Linked DNA regions of Callithrix jacchus. The protein of the gene in region 1 interacts with the protein of each later gene in a pairwise test. Links are inferred from orthologs where the notes say so. Each region holds a gene or a part of one and is shown in the gene's direction. Other genes may lie near its edges. The genes, in order: UBE2L6, RNF144B, ARIH2, RNF125 and DTX3.

The links.
Region 2: the proteins of UBE2L6 (region 1) and RNF144B interact in binary tests that used the Homo sapiens proteins (3 or more experiments, as listed by UniProt). The link is inferred for Callithrix jacchus from reciprocal best matches to the Homo sapiens genes UBE2L6 and RNF144B.
Region 3: the proteins of UBE2L6 (region 1) and ARIH2 interact in binary tests that used the Homo sapiens proteins (3 or more experiments, as listed by UniProt). The link is inferred for Callithrix jacchus from reciprocal best matches to the Homo sapiens genes UBE2L6 and ARIH2.
Region 4: the proteins of UBE2L6 (region 1) and RNF125 interact in a two-hybrid assay, tested with the Homo sapiens proteins (3 studies listed by BioGRID and IntAct). The link is inferred for Callithrix jacchus from reciprocal best matches to the Homo sapiens genes UBE2L6 and RNF125.
Region 5: the proteins of UBE2L6 (region 1) and DTX3 interact in binary tests that used the Homo sapiens proteins (3 or more experiments, as listed by UniProt). The link is inferred for Callithrix jacchus from reciprocal best matches to the Homo sapiens genes UBE2L6 and DTX3.

Annotation. Positions count from the first base shown.
Region 1 is NC_133511.1:115,133,885-115,140,408, reverse strand, and holds the start of UBE2L6 (ubiquitin/ISG15-conjugating enzyme E2 L6), read left to right. Parts: upstream 1-2,511; 5' UTR 2,512-2,851; coding exon 2,852-2,965; intron 2,966-3,129; exon of another isoform or gene 3,130-3,205; coding exon of another isoform or gene 3,206-3,232; intron 3,233-6,524. UniProt on the Homo sapiens protein: Catalyzes the covalent attachment of ubiquitin or ISG15 to other proteins. Functions in the E6/E6-AP-induced ubiquitination of p53/TP53. Promotes ubiquitination and subsequent proteasomal degradation of FLT3.
Region 2 is NC_133505.1:12,443,311-12,449,094, reverse strand, and holds part of RNF144B (E3 ubiquitin-protein ligase RNF144B), read left to right. Parts: intron 1-1,953; 5' UTR 1,954-1,997; coding exon 1,998-2,036; intron 2,037-3,720; coding exon 3,721-3,921; intron 3,922-5,784.
Region 3 is NC_133516.1:31,597,553-31,603,336, forward strand, and holds part of ARIH2 (E3 ubiquitin-protein ligase ARIH2), read left to right. Parts: intron 1-2,985; coding exon 2,986-3,137; intron 3,138-4,143; coding exon 4,144-4,287; intron 4,288-5,471; coding exon of another isoform or gene 5,472-5,497; coding exon 5,498-5,566; intron 5,567-5,784.
Region 4 is NC_133514.1:75,145,800-75,151,583, forward strand, and holds part of RNF125 (E3 ubiquitin-protein ligase RNF125), read left to right. Parts: intron 1-2,892; coding exon 2,893-3,000; intron 3,001-5,784. UniProt on the Homo sapiens protein: E3 ubiquitin-protein ligase that mediates ubiquitination and subsequent proteasomal degradation of target proteins, such as RIGI, MAVS/IPS1, IFIH1/MDA5, JAK1 and p53/TP53.
Region 5 is NC_133510.1:62,090,149-62,096,542, reverse strand, and holds the start of DTX3 (putative E3 ubiquitin-protein ligase DTX3), read left to right. Parts: upstream 1-2,174; 5' UTR 2,175-2,201; intron 2,202-3,097; exon of another isoform or gene 3,098-3,372; intron 3,373-3,532; 5' UTR 3,533-3,595; intron 3,596-3,785; 5' UTR 3,786-3,832; coding exon 3,833-3,861; intron 3,862-4,198; coding exon of another isoform or gene 4,199-4,217; coding exon 4,218-4,947; intron 4,948-6,188; coding exon 6,189-6,394. UniProt on the Homo sapiens protein: Regulator of Notch signaling, a signaling pathway involved in cell-cell communications that regulates a broad spectrum of cell-fate determinations.

The DNA of each region.
Region 1 (6,524 bases):
ATTCAAAGTTAAGTTCTTTGTAAATATCCACTCATTATTCCTCACATGCACTATTATGAGCCCCATTTAACAGATGAGAAAATGGAGGCCCAGACAGGTCAAGTAGTTTGCCCAAGGTTATTTAGCCAAGAATAGTGGAGCTGGGATTCAAACTTGATTGTTTATATCTTGGACTTAGAATTTTCAAACTTCCTCCATTTCCCTCAGCTTAGCCTCACAATGGTCCTGGGAAGCAGACACCCACCCAAAGCCATACTGCACATGGGGGCAAATGTGGAACTAGAACCCAGATATCCCTGGGGCTTGTTCTGACACACAGAGGTCTGCATTGTGAAAGGACATGAAAATCACACCTGTGGGCTGCCCCACTGTGTGTGGGCTTAGAACCCAGCTATTTCCACTACTGTGAATTTGCCTCAGGATGCAGCGTTTCTGTAAGAAAAAAAAGAGCTACAGAGCGTGGACAGAGGCGTTTGCTCCTGTTTCTGTAGACACTACCCCCTTTGCTCATGCTGTTCCTTCTTGTTAGGACATCTTCATCCCACGCTCTTACTCTCGCTGACTCATCATGTTTCACAATACGCTTGGATTTTTCTCTCTTTCGGGAAATGTCTGCCCCTCTCTGAAGGGAGATTAAGTGATCTTCCTCATATTCCCGGAGTACGAGGTGATTCTCCACATCATTATCATTAAAAATCAGGAGCTGCATTCTCTCCCTCTGGCCCAGTAGTCTGAGAGCTCCTCAGGGGCGGGGACTCCCCTTTTTCATCCTGGTGTTTTCTGCTGGCAACGCCTGCCCCCAAGTAGTAAGTGCTGGTTTTTTCGTGTGTGTGTGTGTGTGTGTGTGTGTGTGTGTGTGTGTGTGTGTTTGGTTTTCTTGAGACAGAGTCTGGCTCTGTCGCCGGTCTGGGGTGCAATGGATTGATCTCGGCTCACTGCAACCTCCGCCTCACAGGTTCAAGTGATTCTCCTGCCTCAGCCTCCGGAGTAGATGGGACTATAGGCGCATACCACCACACCCAGCTAATTTTTTTTTTTTTTGAGACTGATTTTCTCTCTTGTTACCCAGGCTGGAGTGCAATGGCGCCATCTCGGCTCACCGCAACCTCTGCCTCCTGGGTTCAGGCAATTCTCCTGCCTCAGCCTCCTGAGTAGCTGGGATTACAGGCACGTGCCACCATGCCCAGCTAATTTTTTGTATTTTTTTTAAGTAGAGACGGGGTTTCACCATGTTGACCAGGATGGTCTCGATATGTTGACTTCATGATCCACCCGCCTCGGCCTCCCAAAGTGCTGGGATTACAGGCGTGAGCCACCGCGCCCAGCCTGTATTTTTAGTAGAGATGGGGTTTCACCCTATTGGTCAGGCTGGTCTTGATTTCCTGACCTCGTGATCTGCCGGCCTCTGCCTCCCAAAGTGCTGGGATGTAAGTGCTTGTTGACTGAGACTACTGATCAGAGGCAGGTGTGAATGTCTTTGTTCCCTCATCTCTACCCCTGTTCAGAGGTTACAGACAGTGTCCTATTCATTTCTGGCATATAGGAGATGCTGTTAAAGTTTATTGAATTGAATGAAACACAATTAATTGATCTGCAAAATCACTGGGAATCAAAATACTTATTTTAAAACTATGGGCCGGGCACGGTGGCTCACGTCTGCAATCCCAACACTTTGGGAGGCCGAGCTGGGCGAATTACTTGAAACCACGAGTTCGAGATTCTGTCTCTACTAAAAATACACAAATGAGCCGGTCGTTGGGGTGCGGGTCTGTAAATCTCAGCTACTCAGGAGGTTGCCTAGAGAACAGCTTGAGCCGGAAGGCGAAGGCAGCAGTAGCCGATATTGCCACCGAACTCCAGTCAGGGCGGCAGTGAGACTCTGTCAGAATCAACAAAAACAAAAACTGGGGCGCGGTGGCTCACGCGTGTAATCCTAGCATTTTGGGAGGCCGAGGCGGGCGGATCGCGAGGTCAGGAGTTCGAGACCAGCTTGACCAACATGGTTAAACCCCGTCTCTACTAAAAATACAAAAAACAAACAACAACAACAAAACTGTGAGTTGCTGAGATCACAAACCGGTGCTCAAAATCTACTGATTTCCCTTCTCCTCTCGACTAAAGTTGGGTGGGGAAGGGGAAGGAGGGAGGGATTGGCCCTCCCAACAAGTCTCATCTTCCCCAGATGCTGCTTGGTGCTCAGGGGCTGCAAGTACTCCGTCCTTGCCCAGAGGGGTGGGGACTCCAGCGATGCATGGGGGCATACGCTAGGCCCACAGCTTGTAATGGACCAGCAGTAGTAAAATAAGGGAGGAGGAGCAGACTCTCTTGGAGAGGAGCCTCCGGAGTCCGTCTAGGGGCATCTCCCACCAACCGTTTCCCAAACCAGCATACAGTAGGCACTTAGTGAATACTAAGCCTAGTAAAGGACTGAACGACGGTCGACCGAACCCCCAGAGCAAAAGAGAAAGGGTCTAACAGCGCCTCCTTGCGGTGCTCTTCTCCAAGCCACGGGGAGAAACGTTGCGGCCCGCGCGCAACGCCAGACAGCACAAAGGATCCGGGACAGCGGGGGAGCGGCTCGGAGGGCACGGGTCTACGCCGTCCACCACGCAGTTTCGGAGATGGAGCGCTGGGCCCACGGAGGGAAGGCTGCAGGCTCGGGGGCTGCGGAAGCTCGCTGGGGCAGGGGCTCAGGGCGGTGGTCTAATGGTTGAGGCCGCCGAGAACTGTCACGGAGCTGCGTTTGCACAGCAAGCATCCTTTATTTACTCAGGGCGAGCGTGTATGTGGGGCGGCGCGCGGAGGGCTGACAGAGAGCGGACAGCTTCCAACCGAGGGGACCGGAACCCGGATGAGCGCCCCCCAGCGCCCCTGCACGCTCGCGGCCGGTGCACGCGCCCCCTCAGGACTCACGGTCCGCAGAGCCGCGCGCCCGGAGGCCCGCCCCCGTCTCCCCACAAAGACCGTGAGTCCCGGGTCCGAGACCTCCACGCGGGGATCGGGCGGGTGCCCGGCGGGTTGTCCCTTGGCGGCCTCCTGGCCTCGCCCGAGCGGGTGCGGGGAGGTCCCGCACCGACGCGGGAGGAGGGGTGGGCGGGGCTGCCGGGGGTGGGGTCCTCGGGGCGGGGTGGGGCGGGGCGCGCGGTGTCGCGGGTCGGGACTCGGTCCTGCTGGAGGCCGCTGGTGCCACACACTCGGTCCCGAGATGACGGCGAGCGTGCGAGTGGCGAAGGTAATCGCTCGTAGGGTGACCCTTTTCTCTTGGCTCCCCTTGCCGCCCCCCGCCCCCTCCCCCCCCCGCGTATTCCCGCCTCCCTCCATCCCCTCCGCGGTTCTCCGAGCTCATTTATTTATTTGTCTGGGCACCTGCGCTGGCCGAATCCCTGTCCTCCCCGCCCTCTACTCAGAGGAGGAGTCTGGCCTGCACGAGTGGCCAGAGCTGGAGTTTTGGGGGCTTGGAGGGCCCATGGGGAGGGGATGTTGCTGGCCCGTTGACCTGTATGCGTGGTGAGGATGAGCCGGCTCCCACCAAACTGGTTTCAATTTCGATTTTCCTGCCTGAAACTTGTGATAAGGATGGAGTGCGGCTCCAGTGCTGGAAGCGTTCTTGGCGTCTTGGTGCCAGGCATTCTGCTACTGCTGGGTGGGTTATGAACACGAATGACCAGGATGAAGTCCTTGCCTTGGAATAAGCCATGGCCCATCCCACAATTTGATGCCTGCATTACTAGAGTACTGAGAAACAGGGAATGCTGATTAGAATTTGGGGCAAAGTTCCCTGGGTATTCTCTGGAGGAAAAGATGCGGAGGCGGACCTGGAAGGCCTCCTGGAGTAGGTGGCTTGCATTAGTGAGTTCTGCCAGTGTCGAATGCCTATATGTGCTGGCCCGGTTCTAGGAGGTGGGGGTGGGGCGGGCAGAGATGAACACAAATCCAGTCCTTGTTGAATTTTATTCCGATCAGGGACACAATTTGAAACAAGACCTGGAAGGATGGGGAGGGGGCAGTTTCCTCCAGAAGCTGGAAAAACCCAGGGTGCTACCCTCAGCCTCTGAGAAGAAAATGGCCTCAGACTGCGACACCCAGAGCAGGCTTGGCCCAGAACCTAAATCTGGAGGTTGGCAGCAAAATGAGGCAGAGGGTCTTTCCAGCCGAGTGGGAGAGAGATGGGAGCCAGAATTTATTGCACTGGAACCGTTGAATGCCAAACAGTTTACGCAGTTACTTCATTTAATTCTCACAGCAGTTCTGTGAGATAAGTAATATACACCCGCGTTTTACAAATGAGGAAATTGGGGCGCAGAGAAAATAACTTGGTTGTCCAGAGTCTTTCAGTAAGGAGCAGTGGGACTGCTATATGAAGCCAGGTCTGCAGGCCCTTTTAATGGCCTCTCTACTTTCATTTTCTGTTCTTCTGAGTCAGGTGATTTCCTAATAGGCAGTAGGAAAGAACTGTGTTTTAAGTTGGGTTTCAACTTCCTCAGGCTTTGGGAACGTTTTGGCAGAACTCACCCTAAATGGATAAAGTCCAAGGGTGCCCAGTTATAGTCAAGTCAGGAAAATGTCTATTCCAGATCTTCTCTGGTCAACCTGGGGCTTCGTTCTTGCCAAAGAATCACAGATGATAGTGAAACTCTTCCGAAATGCAGATGCTTCTAGTTTGGGGTAAAGATAAATGAGGAATAAAGATAAATGGGGTAAAGATAAATAGAACCTGGGTGGAAGGCACCAGAAGCAGCTTATTGGTTGAACGGCGATGGAACACAGATTAGAGATAGGAGGGGGGCATGGGATGTGTTTAATATTATATATTGGGCGGAAGGCAGAGAAATTTCAAGAGTTCTACAGTGTCCAAAGATCATGTATCCGTTGTATGTTTTTAGATTTGAGGTTACTGGAGGTTTTCAAACAGTATCTTATAACCTGTTATTTTATTTTATTTTTATAAAGATGGGTTTCACCATGATGACCAGGCTGGTCTTGAATTCCTGACCTCAGGTGATCCACCCACCTTGGCCTCCCAAAGTGCTGGGGTGCTGGGATTACAGGCATGAGCCACCGTGCCCAGCACAGATGATTTTTTATTGCTCATTAGCTTTTTTTTTCTTTTTTGATTGAACAGCTGCTTTTTAGCATTTCTTAATAGGACTGGTCTGGTGTTGATGACATCTCTCAGCTTTTGTTTGTCTGGGAATGTATTTCTCCTTCATGTTTGAAGGATATTTTCTTCCTTTTTTTTTAGAGATGGGATTTCACCATGTTGGTCAGGAGGCTGGTCTTGAACTCCTGACCTTGTGATCTGCCCACCTCGGCCTCCTAAAGTACTGGGATTATAGGCGTGAGCCACAGTGCCCAGCCTTGAAGGATATTTTCACTGGATATACTATTCTAGTGTAAAAGATTTTTTCCATCAGCCATAATTCATTTAAATATGTCATACCACTCTTTCCTGGCCTGTAAGATTTCCACTGAAAAGTCTGCTGTCAGACATAGTGGAGCTCCATTATATATTATTTGTTTATTTTCTCTTGCTGCTGTTGGGACCCTTTCTTTGTCCCTGACCTCTGGGCGTTTGATTATTAAATGCCTTGAGGTAGTCTTCTTTGGGTTAAGTCTACCTGGTGTTTTATAACCTTCTCATATTTGCATATTGGTATCTTTCTCTAGATTTGGGAAGTTCTCTGTTACTATCCCTTTGAATAAACTTTCTAGCCCTGTCTCTCTCCCCACCTCCTACTTAATGCCGATAACTATTAGATTTGCCCTTTTGGGGCTATTTTCTAGATCCTGTAGGCATAGTTCATTCTTTTATTATTTTGTTTTATCTGTTTTCAAATACTCTGTCTTCAAGCTCTCTAATTCTTCTGCTTGATCAATTCTGCTATTAAAAGACTCTGATGCATTCTTCAGTATGTCAATTGCATTTTTTTTTTAAGACGGAGTTTTGCTCTTGTTGCCCAGGCTGGAGTGCAGTGGTACGATCTCAGCTCACTGTAACCTCCGCCTCCCAGGTTCAAGAGATTCCCCTGCCTCAGCCTCCTAAGTAGCTGGGATTATAGGCATGAGCCACTAAGCCTAATTTTTGTATTTTTAGTAGAGATGGGGTTTCACCATGTTGGCCAGGCTGATCTCAAACTCCTGACCTCAGGTGATCCACCCACCTCAGCCTCCCAAAATGCTGGTATTACAGGCATGACCCACTGTGCCCGGCCTCAATTGCAATTTTCAACTCCAGAATTTCTGCTTGATTCTTTTTAACTATTTCAATTTCTTTGTGAAATTTGTTGATGGGATTTTGAACTCCTCTGTGGAGGAAATATTGAATTTCTTTGAGTTTCCTCAAAACAGCTATTTTGAATTCTCTGTCTGAAAGATCACATATCTCTGTTTCTGTGGAACTGGCCCCTTGTACCTCACTTAGTTTATTTGGTGAGGCTGTGTTTTCCTGGGTCGTCTTGAAGCTTGTGGATGTTTGTTAGTGTCTGGGCACTGAGGAGTTAGGTATTTATTACAGTCCGTAGTCT
Region 2 (5,784 bases), on another chromosome or scaffold:
GAAGGTCAAGGGGGACTGGCTCTGGACACCCACTGTTGGGTGCCAACACTTGTCTACCTGAATCTGTTTTATACAGTGGTGATTTGACTAAGATTTTTGTTTTTTGGAAAGCTCATTGCTTGAAAAATATCTGAGAGTCATTGCTTTAGAGAATTGGTATTGTACACAGAAAAATAAATCACTTTTTGAAGAATCATCTTGGATTGTTCACATCTCAAAGAGGTGAAATATGTAACTTTTTTCCTCTGTCACTGAGTCACAAGTCCTGCCTGTTTGGAATGCTTGGAATTTTTTAAACAAAATGCATCTCTGCTATGTAAAGGCTTTTCTATCATGAAAACATTTTTTACATATAACATATATTTTTTATAACTTTGACGTCATAGCCTATAGGCATGTAACACCTTAGTTTTAAGGAGTACAAACTTACGTACTGTTTAGAGTGAGAGACAATTATGTTTCACATGGCCTTGATTGCCACAGTTTCTAGTTCTACCTTCAAAAGAAGACTATTTCTAAGAAATATCCAATTATAGGTATTCAAATATGGGTAACAATTGAGGTATTAGAGTAATCCAATATGTCTTTCAAGAGTATCCAATTAATTTCTAAGAGGTATCCAATTATGTCTTTGTTTTTCAAGAGTACATTAAAATTTTGGCCTGTTAAATGTCTCCTAAAAAATAATAAAGAGTAAGACTGAGAAATACATGGGTTTCTTGAAGAGCACCCAGATCTCTTGTGAGGTCAGAACATCAGACTTGGCTCTTCACACCAGCTTTCTCCAAACGGCTAAGTGTATTTGACATTTGGAGTGCGGGATGGTCCTGGTCTCTGTCATTTCTCCTTTTCCCCTACTCTGAAAGCATTTACTACCTACATTTCTTGTTGATTTACTTGGGATTTCTCTTGAAAGAAAGCTAATTAAGCAGTGCAGCAGTGTTAAGAACATAGAGATGAGAAGACTGCGGCTGGGGAAGCTGGTGGGACTGTGTGCTGTGAGCTGGGGAGTATTGGAGACGCAAGCTAATGACAGTTGTTTAAGTATGAACTGGGAAGAAGGAAGAGGTAAAATCATTCATGTTTATGCCTGTGTCCATCCTAAAGAGACCCGAATTTGAGGTGCAGGTTTATTTGAATTTAATTTGCTCTTGGTTGATTGCTCCTCAGTAGTTAATGGAAAAAGAAAACTCTCTCTTGAACCTTATTGGACCTTTGCCGAGAAAAAATGGAAACACATGGAAACATGTGGAAGACATGGTTTTTAATTACTTGGACTCAAGGCTTCTGGTACTGAGTACTGGGAGTAGGTGAAAAACCTGAAGTGCTCCAGGTTGCTAGAGTTAGTAATTGTTGACTTTTTGGTATGACTTAAAGTGAATGTGGACAGACCGACAAGCAAATATCTCATTTATTTTTTTCCGTTTCCATCTAATTGAATTTGTTTTTCACCTACTTGTTTTATTACTTTTGTTCTTACATATTGAGACTTAAGCTATTGTGGGACTAGGTAGCTAATGACATACATGTCATGTCTTTTGTCTGAAAATTAAGAGGAAAAGACTTTGGTTCTTATAGGGGGAGGTGTATTTGCTATTATTTATTTTTTCTTTTTTTGAGACGGGTTCTCACTCTGTCACCCAGGCTGGAGTGTAGTGGCGCAATCTTGGCTCACTACAATATCCGCCTCCCAGGTTCCAGCAATTCTTTGCCTCAGCCTCCTGAGTAGCTGGGATTACAGGCACCTGCCACCACGCCCAGCTAATTTTTGTATTTTTAGTAGAGATGAGGTTTTACCATCTTGGCCAGGCTGGTCTTGAACTCCTGACCTCGTGATCCACCTGCCTCGGCTCAAATTTTGCTCCTGTACTTTAGGGACCTTAAGGATAGCTGTGGTCATGGATTTGAACTCTCTTTTTCTCTTTCCGTTCCCCTTCCTCCTCCCTTTCCCAGCTTCATCTGTCCATGTGACATCCACGTAAGGCAGCTCTGGTGTAATGGATCTGGCACTGGGCTTGGTGGCCTCAGAAGTTGAGGTTTGTATTCTGCTCTGCCATGTACAAGCTCTGAGAACTTTGGCAGATTACCTAACTTCTCAGTACCACAATTAATCTATAAAATGAAGAAAACAATTATTTCATCATCCCAAGCAGAAACTCTGTACCCGTTGAACATGCCAGGTGAGGAGGTGCACCTGTCTCCACCTCCTGTGGTCCCAGGTACTTGGGAGGTGGAGGCAGGAGGGTCATGTGAGCCCAGGAGCTCGAGGCTGCAGTCAGCTATAATTGTGGCACTGCACTCGAGCCTGGGCAACAGAAAGATACCCTGTCTCTAGGGAAAAAATTAACCTACAATCGCTCTTCATTTCGCCCTCCCACCAGCTCCTGGTAACCTGTATTCTACTTTTTGTCTTTCAGAATTTGACTACTCTAGGTACCTCATCTAAGTGGAATTATATAATATTTGATTTTCTGTCTGGTCTATTTTAGTTAACATGATGTCAAGGTTCATTCATGTTATAACATGTGTCAGAATTTTATTTCTTTTTACTCCATTGTATGTATATGCCATATTTTGTTCATTCTTCTGTGTTTTTTTTTGGTTTTCATTTTCTTTTTTTTTTTTTGAGACGAAATTTCATTCTGTCACCGAGGCTGGAGTGCAGTGGCACAATTACGGCTAACTTGAAACCTCTGCCTCCCAGGTTCAAGCGATTTTCCCATCTCAGCCTCCCAAGTAGCAGGGATTACAGACATGTGCCACCATGCCTGGCTAATTTTGTATTTTTAGTAGATATGTGGTTTCATCATGTTGCCCAGGCTGGTCTTGAACTCCTGACCTCAAGTGATCCACCTGCCTTGGTGTCCCACAGTGCTGGGATTACTGGCATGAGCCTCTGCGCCGAGCCTCATTCTTCTGTTGATGGACACTTGGGTCACTTCAACTATTTGGATATTGTGAAGAATGTTGCTATGAGCATGGGTGTACAAATATCTCTTTGAGATTCTGCTTTCGGTCTTTTGAGCATATACCCAGAAGAGGAATTGCCGGATCATACGTTACCTCTTTGTTTAACTTTTTGAGTGGCATTCTATTTTTAAGTACTTTTTGGGTCTGTTGAATTGATTGTAGTGATGCAACTCCTAAATGACATGTTTGCTTCTAGTGGTATTCCCCTCCTCAGCTTTATTGAGGTATAACTGACAAATTATATGTATTTGCGGTAGACAGTGTGGTGTTTTGCTACACATATACATTGTGAAATACTTAAATCAAGCTAATGAACATTATCACTTCTCTTGTTTTTTTTTGTGGTGAGATCATTTAAAATCTACTGTTGGCCATTTTCAAGTATACAATGTATTCTTACTAACCCTAGTCACCATGCTGTATGAGACTCCCCAGAACTTACTCATTTTGTCTAAATGGAACTTTGTAAGCTTGACCAACATCTCCTCATTCCCGCCTCACTGTAGTGGTCTTTTAATTTCCGTAACTCATATGATGTGAATCAGGACGGTGAGGTCAGCTTAAATTTCAGGACTTCAGGGACACCTTGCCAAGGTAGCACGCTCTCTAGCCCGTGGTTCTCAGAAATGTATTCGCTGTAAGTTTAGGGATAACTGAGGGTGAGAATTTGATCACCTGGCCTCCTAATGTGTTGGCTAAACAAGAGCTTTATCAATCCATATAATATTTTGTGCTTTGGACCTTTTATAGGGATTGAGGAGACTGAAGAAAGTTGAAGACAGTCTGATGAGCTCAGCTGGTAGGCTCCACTATCTCGCCATGACAGCTGAAAATTCCACTCCTGGAGACCTGGCTCCGGCACCCCTCATCACTTGCAAACTCTGTCTGTGTGAGCAGTCTCTGGACAAGATGACCACACTCCAGGAATGCCAGTGCATCTTTTGCACAGCTGTAAGTTTTCCTTGATGCTTTCTCTGTGAGAAAATACATTGGGAAAAATTATAAAAGTAGGATCTATTTCTGCAGATTATTGAGAAGCCAAACTTTGCTGCGATATGATCCTGCTTTGGAAAGCATTTCATATTTGAATCTATTTTCAAATAGTATCTTAAATGGTTAATCATAGGTTTACCTGTTCTAGGTAAGTATAATGTATGTTTGAAATTTAATTATTGGTTGAACAGTCTTTCTGTTAAGGTTCAAGGTATGGAACTTATTTTCTATTCTGTAGCTATGGAACAAAATAGAAAAATTTATTTTTTATTCTGTAGTTAAGTACCACCTATAAGAAACTCACCAGGTCTTTTGAATGATGGAGAAGTCAGGTAGCAATTTACTTTATCTACCGAATTTTCATTTGCGTACTTGTTCATTTTCCACAAAGCACATGGTATAAATTATACTTTGTCATAGCTCCTTTTATTCTGTTTTCACAATATGCTGAATGCTTTTTATTCCACTTAATAAGAACCCTATAGATGTCCAGGAGTGGGCTTGCCCCTTTTAGTGTGACACGTGATGTCAATACCTGTGGCCTTTACTGCCACTTTTCTTCGACGGTTGGTTGGTTAAGGTATAAAGATAGGAAATAGAGTTCCTATAGGGTTCCATGACAGAGAATAACATTGTTTGTTCATCTAATCAACAGATATCTATTAAGCAGGAACTAAGTCCCAGGAATGGTTCTAGGCACCAGGATTTATCAGTTTAGGAAACAAAACCCAGCTATGTTTCTTGCTTTTAAGAGCTTATAGTCTATCAGAGAAAGTTATGTAGGAGTTCAGGGCTGAGAGGATGCTGCTGTTTTAAATAGGGTGGTCAGAAGCTGGCCTTGCTGAGGAGTAATGTTTGTACTGTTTCTCCTTCCTCTTGTTTGTTTACAGGAAGTAGAGAAATGGCCTTGTCATCTCAGAGCAGCTTCAGTTTCCTTTGGTCTTGCTTTGTTTCTGAAGGCTGTCCTTCAAAACAATTATTTCTCTGGCTTTCTCAACCTTGCTGCAGACCCTTGCTAATCCTTGAAACAAATGAGTCAGAAGCAACATTTGGTGAAAATTGGGATGCAAATATTTCGCTGAGGGTTACTGCTGTTTAAAAGAATTCAGTTTTTGCTATGACATTTAATAGTGCAGAATTCACGTTTGTGTGTCAACACTGGGCAGATAACACGGGGGAAGGTTGTATTTCATCTTCGCAGGGAAGTAACACTGTCTTGTTATTGTTTCAGTAGATTTTAGTTCCTAATTAAAAACAGCATGGCTGCTTCTCATTTCTCTTTCTGCAGCGTCAGGGTAGGAGTTAGTACAGTTAGCTTACTTCATCATCTAGATTCACACTTCCTCATTATTAGGAAGTGCTCAAAAGCAGGAAGTCAAATAGCTTAATATTTTTGGTATCCCTCAATTTGGACCTTTTTGCACCACGAAACATTAACTTTCCCGGGTGTCCTCTTACCCTATTATCTATGAGCTGCCAAAATAGTAAGCGATGTATGATTACATTAGTGTCTGTAAAACTGCAATATGAATCAGGCTCAACTGAAATACTGCTCTAATTTTTTTTGGTTAGAGATTTATTTCTTCTTTTTTAAAGAATGACTTAAAGATGTGTCTAATACTTCCCAGACTTTAATTTGCATCTGTATTACAGATGTCAAATGTTTTGTGTTTTCGAGACTGAAAAGAAATTTGTAATTTTTCATATGCCACATACTACTGACTTCTACTTTTAAATAGGATTGGACAACGTCTCCCAATTGCTTGTGCCTACCATATCTTTAAAACGATTTTACTGAGAACCATCCCCCTGCCCCAGAGA
Region 3 (5,784 bases), on another chromosome or scaffold:
TTCAGACCTCCTTTATCGATCAGGAGTAGTTTACATAGCTAGAACCAATTGGTTTTGCATGGCTTCCTGCCAGGTCAACTGAAGAAACAGAATCCCTTCAAGTAGAAAATATGTCGAAGTAGGTCTCCTACACAGACAGCTGCTTTGATGCTTATCAGGAGCCCCCGAGAGTTTCTACTTTTTTTTTTTTTTTTTTTTTTTTTTGAGACAGAATCTCTGTTGCCCAGATGGGAGTGTAGTGGTACGATCTCTGTCTCCTGGGTTCAAGTGATTCTCTTGCCTCAGCCTCTTGAGTAGCTGGGATTACAGGCATATGCCACCATGCCCAGCTAATTTTTGTATTTTTAGTAGACATGGGTTTTGCCACGGTGGCCAGTCCTGACCTCAGGTGATGCACTTGCCTTGGCCTCCCAAAGTGCTGAGATTATAGGAGTAAGCCATTGTGCCTGGCTGAGAGTTTTTGTTTGTAAGGGCCTGTGTGAATGCTATTCCCAGGAACCCTCTTTTCTTTTTTCTTTTTCTATTTCTTTTTTTTTTTTTTTTTGAGATGGAGTTTCACTCTTGTCACCCAGGCTGGAATGCAATGGCACGATCTTAGCTCACTGCAACCTCCACCTCCTGGGTTCAAGCAATTCTCCTGCCTCAGCCTCCCTCCCGAGTAGCTGGGAATACAGGCACGCACCACCATGCCCAGCTAATTTTTGTATTTTTAGTAGAGACGGGGTTTCACCTTGTTGACCAGGATGGTCTCGATCTCATGATCTTGTGATCCACCTGCCTCAGCCTCCCAAAGTGCTGGGATTATAGGTGTGAGCCACTGTGCCCAGCCTTCTTTTTTTCTTTTGAGACAGAGTCTCGCTCTGTCACTCCCAGGCTGGAGTGCAGTGGAGTAATCTTGGCTCACTGCAATCTCTGCCTCCCAGGTTTAAGCAGTTTTCCCACCTCAGCCTTCTGAGTAGCTGGGATTGCAGGTGCCCACCAAGCCTGGCTAGTTTTTTGTATTTTTAGTAGAGAGAGGGTTTCACCATGTTGGCCAGGCTGGTCTCAAACTCCTTACCTCAGGTGATCCGTCTGCCTCGGCCTCCCAGAGTGCTGGGATTAAAGGCGTGAGCCACCGTGCCTGGCCTTTTTTTTCTTTTTTTAAAGATGGAGTTTTGCTGTTGTCACCCAGGCTGGTGTGCAGTGGTGTGAACCCATCTCCCGGGTTCAAGCGATTCTCCCTCAGCCTCCCCAGTAGCTGTGATTATAGGCGCCACCACCACGCCTGGCTGATGGGGTTTCACCATGTTGGCCAGGCTGGTCTCAAACTCATGGCCTCAGGTGATCTGCCTGCCTTGGATTCCCAAAGTGCTAGATTACAGGCATGTGCCACCACGCCCAGCCCGAAGACCCCTCTTAATCAGAGTGGTCATGGCAGGGTCTTAACAACATTGACTCTGCAGTGCCAAACGAAGATAGGCCATAGGTAGTGGCATATTTCTTCTGTGGGTCCACACTCTTTCTTTCTCTTTTTCTATGTATATATCAGAGAGGGAAGTGTATCATAGACTTAGAACAATGCAAAAGACACATACAGCTTAAAGAATAATGACAAACACCCCAGCACCCACTACATTTTTAGTGCCTAAGAAGTCCCCGGGTGTCAGTATCCCTTGACACCCAGAGTTAACTGCCATTTCATGAGAATCTTGAACCCAGGAGGCAGAGGTCACAGTGAGCTGAGATCGTGCCACTGTACTGGCTAATTTTTTTAAGTAGAGATGGGGGTTGCACCATGTTGGCTGGACTGGTCTTGAACTCCTGACCTCAGGTAATCCACCCGCCTTAGCTTCCCAGAGTGCTGGGATTACAGGTGTGAGCTACTGCGCTCAGCCAAAACAGAATAATTCTGAGTATGAACCATTGGATTGCTCTTGGTTTTATAGAAATGTGTTCTTTGGGAGGCAGAAATGGGCAGATCACTGAATGTTGGGAGTTCGAGACCAGCCTGGCCAACATGGTGAAACCCCATCTCTACTAAAAATACAAAAATTAGCCAGACGTGTTGGCGGGCACCTGTAATCCCAGCTACTCTGGAGGCTGAGGCAGGAGAATCACTTGAACCTGGGAGGAGGTTGCAGTGAGCTGAGATCGCACTACTGCACTTCAGCCTAGGGGACAGAGTAAGACTCTGTCTCAAAAAGAATAGGAATTGTGTTCTTTAAAACAGAAAAAAAGGGAAAAAGCCTTTATTATTAGCTTTCGATACAGAAATCTTTCTAGGACTACAGAAATCTTTCTAGGACGAATGTGATGGTAGGAAGCAGTCGGGAGGTCAGTTTTTACTGATGATGTGTTTAGACAGGTAGTCCTCAATTGGATGAGTTCCTGCTTCTCATTGTGGCATTGACATAGCAGACCAGTAGTCTATGGTCAGCATCTGCCTGTGTTAGATTAATAAGGCACATGGCACATGTGCTGATGGAATAGAAATTATCCATAAGCTGCCATGTGGAGTGGCTCTCAAAGCCTGTAATCTTAGCACTTTGAGAGGTCTAGGTGGGCAGATCATGAGGTCAGGAGTTTGAGACCAGCCTGGCCAACATGGTGAGACCCTGTCTCTACTAAAAATACAAAAATTAGCTGAGCATGGTGGCATGTGCCTATAATCCCAGCTACTTGGAGAATTGCTTGAACCAAGGTGTAAGAGGTTGCAGTGAGCTGAGATTGCACCATCACACTCTAGCCTAGCAACAGAGCAAGACTCCATCTCAAAAAGAAAAAAAGAAATTATCCATAGGCTATTGTTCATATCAGCAAGTATAGGCTATAAGGACAGTAGGATATGACAGGGATGAGAGGTGCACATTCCTTCTGGAAAGAGGCACCCTTGCGAAGTTCTTTTCAGGTGACCACTTTGGAGCTGGGTCTGTCTGTCTCACTCTGCCTTTGGAGGAAAGTGGAGTTGTCTTGTGGATGTAAAAGACTTTTCTCTGTTCTGTACAGACTTCTGCTGGATGTGTCTAGGAGATTGGAAGACTCATGGCAGTGAATACTATGAGTGCAGTCGTTACAAGGAGAATCCTGACATTGTGAACCAGAGCCAACAAGCCCAGGCAAGGGAAGCCCTCAAGAAGTACTTATTCTACTTTGAGAGGGTAGGTGTCCTCTTCTGTACCTTCCCCTACAGGGTTGGCTTCTTCCACTTGGCCTGTTGGGGTGGGATTCCCATGGACTGGTAGCCAGAGCCAGCCTGTACACATAGAAGTCAGTGAATGGAGCTCCTGCGGTATCCCTGGGTGCTGCCTGTATAGATGTGCCTTTCAAGCTCTACAGGGTATCCCCAGCCAACAGGGAAGGAACTGGTACTGACCTTGGTTGAATGATGGTTTTTTTTTTTTTTTTTTGAGACAGAATCTCTCTCTGTTGCCCAGGCCAGAGTGCAGTGGCATGATCTCAGCTCACTGCAACCTCCATCCCCCCCGGGTTCAAGTGATTCTCCTGCCTCAACCTCCTTAAGTAGCTAGAACTTCAGGCGCCCACCACCATACCTGGCTAATTTTTGTAATTTTTAGCAGAGACGGGGTTTTGCCATATTGGCCAGGCTGGTCTTGAACTCCTGACCTTGTGATCTGCCTACCTCGGCTTCACAAAGTGCTGGGATTACAGGCGTGAGCCATTGCGCCCAGCCAAATGATTGGTTGAAGGACAGTGAAGGGCCATCAGATAGTCTTTTCCATCTAGTGCCATTTTTTTTTTCTTTTTTCTACGTTTTAAATTTTTATTCATTTTTTTCTTTTTGTCCTCACAATCTGTTCCCATAGTATCATCTCAGTAGTCATATTTGGAAAGCAGTTTCTCCTTTCTGAAGGAGCCCTTCAGAAGCCCAAAGAGCACATTAGACCATTAGGGACCTAGCTTTGCATAGTCCTCAGGGCTGGAGTCCCATTGCTCCAGAAAGGTAGTGTGATCTGGCAGGCATACAGCTGCTCTGGACAGGTTAGAAGGATGGCTGAAGAAGACCTGCTCCTGCACACATTCTCCATAAGTTAGAGGAGTCCGTGGCCATGTCTTGCCATCAAGGTGTCTATCCTCAACTCCTGTGTAGACCTCTGCACCTTTGTGGGACTCCTGTGGTTTTCTTCTTCTTTCTGTGCCCTGTAGTGGGAAAACCACAACAAAAGCTTGCAGCTAGAGGCACAGACATACCAGCGGATTCACGAGAAGATTCAGGAGAGGGTCATGAACAATCTGGGGACATGGATCGACTGGCAGTACCTACAGAATGCTGCCAAGCTCTTGGCCAAGGTATCTACCACTTCACTCATCCTATCCCTGCTCCAGTGCCTGGCCCCATCGGGCACAGACCTCTGAAGGTGGGAAGCCCTGCTGGGAGAGGGTATTTTAGCACCCTGTGCAGCGTTCCACACTTCTGCTTGTGGATCCACATCTTCATTTGCTACGTCCATCAAGGACCCAGTTCTCTGCTGGATGTCCCAGGGATTTCTAAGAGTGTTGCACTGCCTCTGCCTGCAGGGAAAACTAGAGCCCTTTACTTCTCCTTTGTCCTGTGTATGCATTACTCCAAAGGAAAATAAAAGATTTTCTGAAGGGTTAGGCATGGTGGCTCACACCTGTAATCCCAGCACTTTGGGAGGCTGAGGCAGGCAGATCAGTTGAGGTTAGAGTGGATCACTTGAGGTCAGGAGTTTGAGACCAGCCTGGCCAACATGGTGAAACCCCATCTCTACTAAAAATACAAAAATTAGCTGGGTGTGGTGGCACATGCCTGTAGTCCCAGCTACTTGGGAGGCTGAGGCACGAGAATCCCTTGAACCTGGGAGGCAGAGGCTGCAGTGAGCCAAGATCATGCCATTACACTCCAGCCTGGGCAAGAGAGCAAGACTTTGTCTCAAAAAAAAAAAAAAAAAAAAAGATTGGGCAGGGTGCCTGTGATCCCAGCGCTTTGGAAGGCCAAGGCAGGTGGATTGCTTGAGCCGAGGAGTTTGAGACCAGCCTGGGCAACATGAGAAAACACCGTCTCTACAAAAAAAATACAAAAATTAGCCTGGTGTGGTAATGCACACCTGTAGTCCCAGCTACTTGGAAGGGTGAGGTGGAAGGATCACTTGAGTCTGGGAGGCAGAGGTTGCAGTGAGTGGGGATTGCACCACTGCACTCCAGCCTGGGCAACAGAGCGAGACAGTTTCAAAAAAAAAAAAGAAGAGATTGTCTTTGGGTAAGCATTGAGACAGATGTGTGGACTCTGATTGAGGCAGCTGTTGGTAATTAATCAGTTTGTAAAAGGAAGTCTGGGTGTTCTGTGACCATTGTTGTTTGTTTTTCCCCATGTCTTTTCCCAATTCATCGTCTATTCGGCTTAGTATCATTTATTTCACACCCATACCTATAGAGCTAGGCTAATTTGCATGCTGGGGGTAGGAATTGTAAGAGCCACCTGAGATGCAGGTAGCTTAGAATCACAGACACAGGTCGCTTCTCTTCTATCCTGTTGCAGTGTCGATACACCCTGCAATACACCTACCCATATGCATATTACATGGAGTCTGGACCCAGGAAGAAGCTGGTAAGGCAAAGCAATTTTTCTCCTCTGTCCTTTTAGCCTCAAAGGTGCCCTTCTTTACCAGCACTTTACAGGACAGTGAAGACCAGACCCTGGTCATTAGGAAGGCAAATTTAAAACAACACTGTTTAATTGCAAAATTCCACTTCTACTCTGGGCACTTCCAAAATAGATCTAAGGTGCTGTTTTGTGTAATACAAGGCACATGGCACCTAATCCTT
Region 4 (5,784 bases), on another chromosome or scaffold:
GAGATCCTGTTTCAAAAACAAAATGAAACAAAACAAAAAACTTCTTTGCTTAAAATTCCAGGTTTTCTGTATTTATCTTCTTCACTAGACTCGAATCAGCTCCTTGATGGTAGGGATCAAGGTAATTGGCATCTCTGTACCTCTGACTCTTTGCATCAAGTCTACTGAAACCATGGCAGGTGCTTGAATAAATGAGGAGCAGAACTGGTCCCAACTTATCATTCCAAGCTCATCCCACACCACTTCCCCAACTTGCCCTACCTCCAGTTACAGTGAGCTTTTTCTATTGCCCTCAGTAGGCCTTTTTCTTTTAGGATTTACTGCCTTTTCCTTCATTGATTCTTCTGCTGTAATGGTCCTCCCTGCTGGCCTGGCTGGCTCATTCTTCAAGACCCACTTCAGTTACCAGCAACTATGCTGAAGCCTTTCCGAACCCCTGGGCAAAATTAGTAATTCCCTTTACAAGTCTTGAACAGTTGCCTGTTCACATCTTGAATATGGCACTTTGTATACTATTGAAAGCATCTGCTGCCAGGCACCATGGCTCATGCCTGTAATCCCAGTACTTTGGGAGGCCAAGGCAGGTGGATCATGAGGTCAGAATATTGAGACCATCCTGGCCAACATGGTGAAACCCCATCTCTACTAAAAATGAAAAAAATTAGCTGGGTACAGTGGAACACAGCTGTAGTCCCAGCTGCTGAGGTAGGAGAATTGCTTGAACCCGGGGGCTGGAGGTTGCAGTGAGCCGAGATTGCGCCATTGCACTCCAGCCTGGGCTACAGAGCAAGACTCCGTCTCAAAAAAAAAGAGTTACAAAGCGTTGTTTATATTAGCCATCATGGAAGTGCAAATTAAAACCATGGTGAAATACCACTGCACATTTATCAAAATGGCTAACATAAAAAAATTTGGACAACACCAAATATTGGGGAAAATAAGGAAAAACTAAATAATTTATACATTGCTGGTGAGAATGTAAAATAGTACAGCCACTCTGGAAAACAGTTTGGCAGTTTTTTACAAAGTTAAACGTATACTTACCATATAACCAAGCAAACTCCTGAAAATTTATCCTAGAGAAATGAAAATTATGTTTACACAGACATTTATACACAAATATTTATTGCAGCTTTATCTGTAGCAACCAAAAACTGGAAACAACCTAAATGCCCTTTAAAAACTAGATGGATAAGCAGATGGTGGGACATCCATACCATGAAATATTACTCAGTGATAAGGAGGGAACTATTGATATACCCAGCAACTCAGATGGATCTCAAAGTCATGCTCAATGGAAAAAGCCAATCTTAAAGGTTAAATATTATATAATTCTATTTATATAAGCTTCTTGAAATAGTCAAATAATAATATGGGGAATGGATCAGAAGTTAGGGAGAGAGAAGGAAATAAAGGATAGCAATACACTGGCTTCTTTTGTAGTGACAGATTGGGTTAGTATCTTTTTTTTTTAATTCATCTTCTAGGTCCGTTGTTTTTTTTTGTTTGTTTGTTTGTTTGAGACAAGAGTGTTAATCTGTCATCCAGGCCAGAGTGCAGTGGCATGATCTTGGCTCACTTCAACCTCTGCCTCCCAACTTCAGGAGTAGCTGAGACTACAGGCATGCACCACCATGCCCAGCTAATTTTTTTTTTTTTTGTCTTTTTAGTAGAGATAGATTTCGTCATGTTGGCCAGGCTAGTCACCAGCTCCTGACCTCAAGTGATCCTCCTCCCAAAGTGCTGGGATGACAGGCCTGAGCCTTCGCCCGGGGATTACTTTCCACGTGAGATTTGGGCAGGGACAAATTTCCAAAATATATATCACACACACACACACACACACAGAGAGAGAGAGAGAGAGAGAGAGAGAGAGAGAGAGAGAGAGAGAGAGAGAGAGAGAATATGAGTACAGGCAAAACCTGGTGAAATCTTTTTCTTTTTCTTTTCTTTTTTTTTTTTTGAGACAGAGCTGATGCCTCAGCCACCCAAGTAGCTGGGATTACAGGTGCCTGCCACCATACCTGGCTAAATTTTTTTGTCTTTTTAGTGGAGATGGGGCTTCGCCATGTTGGCCAGGCTGGTCACGAACTCCTGGCCTCAAGTGATCTGCCTCCGAAAGTGCTGGGATGACAGGCCTGAGCCACCATTTCAACCTGAGATTTGGGCAGGGACAAATTTTCAAACTATATCACACACACACACACACACACACACACAAATACAAGTACAGGAAAAACCTGGTAAAATCTTTTTTTAAAGCAATCTTCCTGTCTCAGCCTCCCAAGTATTTGGGATAACAGGTATGTGCCACCACATCCGACTAATTTTTGGATTTTTAGTAGAAATAGGGTTTCACCATGTTGGCTATGCTAGTCCTGAATTCCTGGCCTCAAGTAATCCACCTTCATTGGCCTCCCAAAGTGCTGGGATTACAGGCGCAAGCCACCACTCCTGGCTGATATTCATAACTGTTGACCTGGTAATTGCCATTTCTGGCCATTTCTCCTAAGGAACTAATCCCCTAAAAGGTAAACACTATAGTTATTCTCATTTGTGATAACAAAATATCCACATACAAAACAAGTGTTCCAAGAGGTAGGCAAACTAATTAAGTAAATTATAGTACATCTAGTAACCGTAATATTGTTTAAATAATAAATTGATGACTATGAAACAGTTATATTGTTATGTATGCATATGAAGAAATAAATGTAATTTTATTTGCTTAATGTTACTTTGATGTATATGTAATTTTATAACATAATACTGAGGTGTAGCTAATGGATTAATAAAGTTGAGAGTTTCTGAATGGTTACCTGTTGCTTTTAATTTTGGCACTGGTAACTATTTTAAATTCTTTATTGAACCCCTGGTCTTTTTTGTTTCCAGTTCTGTCCACTTTGCCGTTTAATACCTGATGAGAATCCAACCAGCTTCAGTGGCAGTTTAATAAGACATCTGCAAGTTAGTCACACTTTGTTTTATGACGATTTCATAGTAAGTATATTTTCTTATTTTTACATTATGTTTTTATGGTGTTTGTGTTGAGCTTACCTTTCTAATCCAAGTGAATAAAATTATGGAGGAAATAATGTGTGTATAGTTAGAGTGTTGCGTTTTAGCCTTAAGTAGGAAATCATGAAAATAGAATGTTTTGACCCAGCACAGTGGCTCACGCCTGTAATCCCAACGCTTTGGGACTTAAGGTCAAGAGTTTGAGACCAGCCTGGCCAATGTGGTGAAATCCTATCTCTACTAAAAATAAAAAAATTAGGCCAGTTTCAGTGGCTCACGCATGTAATCCCAGCACTTTGGGATCTGCCCGAGGTGAGCAGATCATGAGATCAAGAGATGGAGACCACCCTGGCTGACATGGTGAAACCCCATCTCTACTAAAAGTACAAAAAATCAGTTGGGCATAGTGGCACACACCTGTAGTCCCAGCTACTTGGAAGACTGAAGCAGGAGAATCCCTTGAACCAGGGATGCGGAGATTGTAGTGAGCCAAGATTGCACCACTGCAATTTAGCCTGGGTGACAGTGAGATTCCATCTCAAAAAAAAAAAAAAAAAAAAAGAGAATGTTTTCCCTGGATCCTAGATGAGGTTATTTTCATTGTAATTTTCTAAATCCGGAAAATCGCAATAGTTGTATAATAAAGTGTTAGACTTAGTTTTTTGTTTTTTGTTTTTTTTGAGACAGAGTCTCACTCTGTCGCTCAGGCTAGAGTGCAGTGGCACAATCTTGGCTCACTGTAACCTCCGCCTCCCAGGTTTATGCAATTCTCCTACCTCAGCCTCCCAAGCAGCTGGGATTATAGACATGCACTACCACATGGTGCATTTTTCTCTATTTTTATTAGGGAAGGAGTTTCACCATTTGGCCAGGCTAGTCTTGAACTCCTGACCTTGTGATCCACCCACCTCAGCCTCTCAAAGTGCTGGGATTACAGGCGTGAGCCACCGTGCCTGGCCAGACTTAGTTTTTAAATTAGTTTTTACTCTAGTCTATTCCTATACATAGTAATAATTATTATTAAATCGAGAGCTTATTAGCTGAGATGAAATTACATAAAAAATGAAATGCAATGTCAAGATAAAATTTGATAATGATTGGAAATCATCATTTAAGAATTTTCTCCATGTTTTCGATCTGCCTATTATTATTATCCAGATAGGATGCTGGGACCTCTGTTTCTAAACTAGTTTTTTTTTTTTCCCCCCTTGACAGAGTCTTGCTCTGTCATCAAGGCTGAAGTTCAGTGGCCTGATCTCTGCTCACGGCAACTTCTGCCTCCTGGGTTCAGCAATTCTCCTGCCTCAACCTCCCAAGTAGCAGGGTGCTACCCTTATAGGTTTGCGCCACTATGCCCAGCTAATTTTTTTTGTATTTTTGGTAGAGACAGGGTTTCACCATGTTGGCCAGGCTTGTCTTGAACTCCTGACTTTGTGATCTGCCATCCCCGACCTCTCAAAGTGCTGGGATTACAGGCTTGAGCCACCGTATGTGGACTCTAAACTAAGCAATAGCTCTGTCACCTGTGTGACCTTGTAGAAGGTATTTAACCTCTGAAACTCAGTTTGTCCATTGGTTAAGGGAGGAGATTAAAAGCACCTACTCCCAAAACTCTTTTGAGGATTAAATGAGCTAATGTATATAAAGTGATTTGCATAGTTCAGGAGCAGATGTTAGGCAAGTTGGAGATGGGATGGGAGTGGAATTGTTAGGACCACTTGAGGAACTGAACAAGGAACATGACAGAGACTTTAAATTCTCCACTCCATATTTCTAAGCATGTCTTTTGTGGCCTATACAGCACACCGGCCTCAACAGAACTTGGTTCTGGTCTTTGTGTTCTCTCTGGTAATACAAAGAGGTTTCTCTTTATCTTAGCTCTATGAGATGTTCTAAAAGCCAGGTGGATTTTATGCCTCTTCTGGCTAATCATCTTCAGCCTATTCTCAAGATCTTTCAGACAAAGCATGATCCAGAGCTAGTCAGGATGAAGCCACTTTGATAAGAATACTTTCTAGCCACTCACAGCTATATTCTTGGGTATGAAAGTGAGCCTGAAGTAGTGTTTTTTGTTTTTATTTTTTTGCTTACAGGGCTACTATATTCTAAGCCAAGTACTCTATGTACATATCACATTTCATTCCTTGCAGCAACTTCCGTGAAAAGTGAATACCGTATTGTTATCTTAATTTAACTGAAATATCTGAAGCTCAAAGGTTAACTAAATCACCTAAGAACAAGCCAATATCAAGACCAAACCTTGTGCTCTACTGGGCTTTATGGCTTTTCTTTGGATTTTTGTGGGGTTTTTTGTTTGTTTGTTTGTTTGTTTTTAGAATGTTGCAGAATGGACTTTGAATAGAGATTTCTCTTTTTCTTATTATGGGAGAGGAGAGGGATTACAGAGGATAGTATTCTTAATGGCTTTTGTTTTGCTTATAGAATGTGCTGACATAAGTTATGAATTCCACTTTGACACATAGAGAGGCAAGGAGAAAGTTTTGTTTTTAACGTTTTCTTCCAAAATAGCTATTCAGTAGTACTGCTGGCCTTGGTGAAGCCTGCGGGGATGCCTGAACATTGCTCCATTTTACAGGTTTGTGTGGAACATAACACTCCGACCAGGATTTGTAATGTTGACTAAATACTTCTATTACATCAGATAAAAACTTCAAATTTCCAATCAAGACGTTTTAGTATAACAGTGACTAGTTAATACATAGACAGCAAAGTGAAGTAGAAAATTCATTGGCCCCAAAGCAAAAG
Region 5 (6,394 bases), on another chromosome or scaffold:
GGCACCAGCAACTGGCCTGTGGTGATGCAAAGCTGCTTTGCTCTGTATCTGGCTGGACTGATCTATCTCCCAAGAAGCCATGAGGCAATAGGGAGAAGCTCTCTCTCTCCTCTTCATCTTCTGCTCCAAAGGAGGTAGCAAGAGGAGTACCCAGTTTTAGGGGTTGGAGCCCCTATAACATCTTCCTGTCAGGAGACTGATGGATCTTTTTCATTCCAACCATCTCCCTTTCCCCCAGTGAATGCAATAAAACTTTGTGACACCAGCAACTGTTGTTCTTTAGAAATGGGTTTTCTGATCACATGGCTGATGTATTATGGGCAGTATGGATGTCTTCATTTGTTGCTTCTGTTTATCATCTTTTTTGTTTTATTAAAAAAAATTCGTGGTCGGTTGCAGTGACTCAACGCCTATAATCCCAGCACTTTGGGAGGCCGAGGCGGGTGGATCACGAGGTCAAGAGATCGAGACCATCCTGGTCAACAGGGTGAAACCCCGTCTCTACTAAAAATACAAAAATTAGCTGGGCATGGTGGTGAGTGCCTGTAGTCCCAGCTACTTGGGAGGCTGAGGCAGGAGAATCGCTTGAACCTGGGAGGCGGAGGTTGTGGTGAGCCGAGATTGCACCATTGCATTCCAGCCTGAGTAACAACAGCGAAACTCTGTCTCAAAAAAAAAAAAAAAAATTCGTGTATTTGCTCCCATTGCTATCATAATACAGGGAATAAATTATTCAATCCAAATTCCTGTACAGAAATACTTTTTTTTTTTAAATTTTTTTATTAACATTTCACTTCTCTGAGGAAGCCTGTGCTTAAGGGTGCAGAAACCAGCTGAAGAATTTTGGTGTTCAAGGTGTTGAGCCCCTAACTAAGGATGTGGGTTTCTAGACAGATGGCTGTGAACTTTTTTGAAAAGGCTGTGAAGTGTGTGCACGGAAATGGAAAGCTTAGTTTTTAGCCTTGTGGCAGGTCAGCGGTAGTGAGGGCCAGGGAAGAGTAGGGTGATGGGACCCTTCCTCTTCGCAGAGTTCTGGGCTTGGCTAACACTCCATTTTGGCAAAGGTGAGTGGGCCTCTCAGCCCACCTGCTAAAAGAAAAGGAATTCAGTACTCCACCCCCCACCGACTTCCTGGGAAAGCTGTCCTCTTCCTGGAGGGAAGGAAGAGTACAGCTGCAGCAGGGTCCTGGGAAAGTGAAGAAAGTGACCAGCCCTCCAGTCTAGAGGGGGAATGAAAAAGGGGTGGATGAATAGAGGTTGTTGCCAGTTTGGGAGATTCCTGTCTTGGCTGAGAAAGTCTTTTGGCTGGTGGAAAAACCTGGCTTGATGTGGCTGGCCTCAGGGAAGTGAGTTGGATTGGGGGCGGAGACTGCTTGAAGTGGGAAGCAGAGCAGAGCTTTTTTTCTTTGAGAGTTTTTAACTCTATTTGAACCATACACTTGACACAACCACCACCCCAAGCCACTTTTTAAAAAATGTATTCACTTCCCATTCTGCACCAGCCTCCATATCCGTTTGTGGAAAGAGAAAATCGGAGGCACTTACCAATGACCATCTGAGAGCACGTTGTGGGGGTCACAGGAGGTAACAATCTAGAAAGAGGCAGGAGATGAGGGAGGGGATTGAAATAGTTTAGTACCGGGATTTGTTTATTTTTTAGAACCAATGCTTTTCTTTTTACTATGACTCTCCCCAACCCACATTGTTCCTCAAAGGCCCTTCTACCACAAGGATTCAAAAAATTGCCGCCCTCCCCCCTCCGAATCCCCATATACCCACCAACACTTCACCCACCCATCCACCACCAGCTCCCGGGAGCTGCTACGCAGCTGGCTGGGAAAGAAAAGGGAGAGTGCTCTGCTGGGAGGCGGGAGCGAGAAGGGTGGCGTCTCCAGGGATTTAACCTCCTACCCTCAGTTCCGTGACGCCACCCCCTCCCTCCAAAGAGTGGGACAGCTCCTCCATTTTTGTTCTGGGGAGGAAGAGCAGGGGCTTGCGGATAGAAGGGGGTCAAAGGGAACGGTGATTATCACCTGTGAGGGGAAAGGGGGTGCTGTCCTCCCTCCTTCCCTTTCCATCAGCCTGCACCCCCTGCAACCCCCCACCTTCTCGGGGTCTCCCCCCCCTTGTTGCTAAGGCCCGGACCGTCATCCCAGCAACAGCCTCAGTCATGTGACCGGCAATGGCGGCGCTGACGAGAGGTAGGTGAGCCCGGCGCCCCCCACACCCACCGCGCGCCCCCCAGGCCCCGCTAGCACCCCTCACACGCCCCCCGCTCCCCCGGCACCCCCTCTTCCCCCACCCCTCCCCGTACGCGGCTCTGGGCCCCCAGCTCCGGGCCCGGGCGATCATCTTTCTAGCACCCTCCAGCCTTGGCCTCTATTCGGGGATTCTGAGAGCTGCGATCGGGCCGACCTGCACCCCCACCCGGGGGTGGGGATCCGGGGGCTTCGGCGAGTGAGAGATGTGGGGAGTTGGTTCCGGGTCGGGTGTTGGAGGAGGCCTTGGGGGGAGGGCTGGAGCGGCCTCAGTGGATGCCCCCAGGGACCCTTGCCCTTCCCGGCTGTCCCTCCCTCCGGCCTGGGTCTGGAGGGAGACTGGTCCCTTGTCCGGCCTGGGTTGCCACGGAGGAATCACAGACCCACCCTAAACTGTGGCCCCGCCTCCCTTTTCTATGCCAGCAGGACTTGGAGCTAGGACACCTAGGTCCTGGGTCCCCTGTGATGAGACGGGAGGTGTTGCATCGCGGGTAGACTGTATGGGCTGAAGATCTAGTGTTCCATTTTCACTTTATGAATCTCAAGGTGCCTCTGGCCTTTGGGGATGATGATAGAAACATGAAGGGACAGCTGCTCCTTTTTTGGATCAGTCAATAAATGGAGGTCACACTTATGGCCCCTCTTTCTGTTTGAGCTGCATTGGGAGGTGTTGTGGGGACAGCACTGTAGCCCAATGCGACCAGACTCTGGGGAAACATCAGGCCTCTCCAGCTGAGCCCTTGTGTGAGCCCCGCCCCTCCCTAAATACCAGACTAGGGAGCTGACAGACAGCCCTGCCTGTGCTGGGTTTAAAAGGTGACAATGAGAACTTTGTTATTGTGGGGGCTGCTGCCACTTCGTTCACCTCTTTAACAGACTTCAGCGGAAGGGACTGAGTTAGCTCTCAAGGAAGGCTCCCTGGCAATAGGGGCTGAATTATTTGGGAATATGGAGCAGCGCAAGGAATTGGGAACACAGGAAATACTCCAGTTCATGTGATCTGAGGGAGGCGTCAGGAAGACCTCCACCTGTGTGGGCTTTTTCTTTCCTGGCTTCTCTTATGTGTGCCCTAGGCTTTCTTGGGGGCCTCAGAGCTGGGGAAGAAAGGAGGAAGGTTAGCATGTTGAAGTTCCTTCTTGAGCAACCTGGGGAGAAGCTGAGGATGGAATTCTGCAGAGGATAGAGGAAATGGAAGGGGAGTTTTTATTTCTGGGTTGGCTGAGGGAAATGGTAACATTTGCCATCATAACTTTTTACCCTTCCCCCACTCCCAGGCCTGGTCAGCTGAGTGGAAATAGAAGGATTTCTGCTGCCATCATCTTCCATGGGCTTTCCAGGTACCTCCCCAACAAGGGATCCTCAATGTTCACCCTGAAACTGGTTTCCTTCATTCCGTGTTCCAAGTAATCCCATTCCCAGTAACCTATGCCCAGGTTTCTGTCTCTGTTCCATGGGCTGCTAGGTTGGGGGCCAGGGGATTTGGGAGAAGGGGTTTCTCACTTTCCTTCCTTTTTTCCGCCCTGCCAGGTCACACGACCTACAAGTAGGGAGCAGGGAAAAAAGAGTGAGCCTGCATGCCAATTCTAAGCTCTTCGGGATCAAAGTAAGCAAAAAGGAGGGGCAAAAAATCTCCCTCCCCTTTAAAGAGCCCATTTTTCCCTCAGAGGTGGGAGGGGCAAATTGTCTCTACGATCTGGGAGAAATGACAGGAGAAACAAGACTGATGCTTGGTTTAGATGATAATACAGTTCTGGAAACTTGCTTGGTCTTCAGTGGGCTTTGGAAGATAAAGGGAGATAGAATATGAATTTGGGGGAAGGGTTGGGGATTAGGCTTTGAGAAACAGGTAATAGGGGGTTTGGAAAGAATCTGAAGTAGGAGGCACTGATACTTGTCAAATGGGGACCCCCCACCCTGAGTCCCTTTCACCCTGGGGGCAGTGTCGTTCGTCCTGTCCAGAATGGCAGCCTGTGGAGGCACCTGCAAGAACAAAGTGACTGTCTCCAAGCCTGTGTGGGACTTCCTGAGCAAGGAGACCCCAGCCCGGCTGGCCCGGCTTCGGGAGGAGCACCGTGTGTCCATCCTTATAGATGGCGAGACTTCTGACATCTATGTTCTCCAGCTTTCCCCACAGGGCCCTCCCCCGGCCCCTCCCAATGGGCTCTACCTAGCCCGGAAGGCTCTCAAGGGGCTGCTAAAAGAGGCAGAGAAAGAGCTGAAGAAAGCTCAGAGGCAGGGGGAGCTGATGGGCTGCCTGGCTCTGGGGGGTGGAGGGGAGCACCCTGAGATGCACCGCCCAGGCCCACCCCCTCTCCGAGCAGCCCCACTTCTGCCCCCAGGGGCTCGGGGGCTCCCCCCTCCTCCTCCCCCACTGCCCCCACCTCTTCCTCCTCGCCTTCGGGAGGAGGCAGAAGAGCAGGAGAGCACCTGCCCCATCTGTCTGGGGGAGATCCAGAACGCCAAGACATTGGAGAAGTGCCGGCATTCATTCTGCGAGGGCTGCATCACCCGGGCTCTGCAGGTGAAAAAAGCCTGCCCCATGTGTGGCCGCTTCTATGGGCAGCTGGTGGGCAACCAGCCCCAGAATGGGCGGATGCTGGTCTCTAAGGACGCCACCCTCCTACTGCCCAGCTACGAGAAGTACGGCACCATCGTCATCCAGTACGTCTTCCCGCCCGGTGTCCAAGGGGTAAGAAGACCATGTCCTGCCCTTATCCTTTGGCTTCCCCAGCCTCTGACCTAGGAAAACTGGGTGAGGGTATGTGCTTGTTAGAAGTGAGACAGTCTTGTTGTCTTCCTCTGTGCCCTCCTACTCGGTGCCCTGGAGCTAGGAGGTCCTGGTGAGGCCCAGCTTTTCCATCCCTGTGATCCTAAGGTACACATAAAAATCAGATATGAGCTAGGAAAAAAAACACACATCAGATATGAGAGAAAGAAATTACATATTATTTCCTTGGTGAACATAAATACTATGGTGACATTTGGCAGACGTAAATTCTGTGGAGGTGGTGGCTTAGGGGCAGGCAGGCACAATAGGAAGGGATCTGACAACCCAACAGAGCCAGGAGCATCTCTCTGTGTCAGATGTATGAGAGCAAAACCTTGATGCCAGTGGAAGGTTAAAACAGGAGTGGTCAAGGGCCTATAGGTGTCTTCCTGCTGGACAAAGAGTAATGTGGAATTCTGGGTGCAGAGGGGTAAAGAAGCTGCACAGAGTCCGGGCGCGGTGGCTCACGCCTGTAATCCCAGCACTTTGGGAGGCCAAGGCAGGTGGATCACAGGTCAAGAGATAGAGACCATCCTGGTCAACATGGTGAAACCCCGTCTCTACTAAAAACACAAAAAATTAGCTGGGCATGGTGGTGCATGCCTGTAATCCCAACTACTCAGGAGACTGAGGCAGGAGAATTGCCTGAACCCAGGAGGCAGAAGTTGCCATGAGCCGAGATTGTGCCATTGCACTCCAGCCTGGGTAACAAGAATAAAACTCCATCTCAAAAAAAAAAAGAAGCTGCACAGAAGAGTAATGGAAGATGGAACAGGTTAGACAGTGGCAGAAATATTAGGAGTATTTTCAGGTGAAGGGAAGGCTAAAAGATAGATTATTCTGTCTTCATATTTCTGCTGAGTTGTCTGGAGTGCAGGGACCAGCCACCTTCCATCACTTCTGAGAATCCATTTGTTGCTGAATGGATTGTTGCTGAGGGATTGAGACAGCAGAAAAAAACCTCTTAACACATAAAGATTATGCTCTGAAACAGGCTCTGACTGCCCAGGCCCTATAATCTCTCCTTTGGAAAGCTGTCAGCCTGTTACTGCCCTGTTCGCATTAGCTGGGGGTGCTAAGACAGAGGCTGGCCGCCTCCATTGACATCTGGGTCTTGGGATGGCTGGCTGCTCACTGCCCACTCTGCTTCACCTTCCTCCCAGGCTGAACACCCAAACCCAGGAGTTCGGTATCCTGGCACCACACGGGTGGCCTACCTCCCGGACTGCCCTGAGGGCAACAAGGTGCTGACCCTGTTCCGCAAGGCGTTTGACCAGCGTCTCACCTTCACTATCGGCACATCCATGACCACAGGGAGACCGAATGTCATCACCTGGAACGACATCCACCACAAGACCAGCTGCACAGG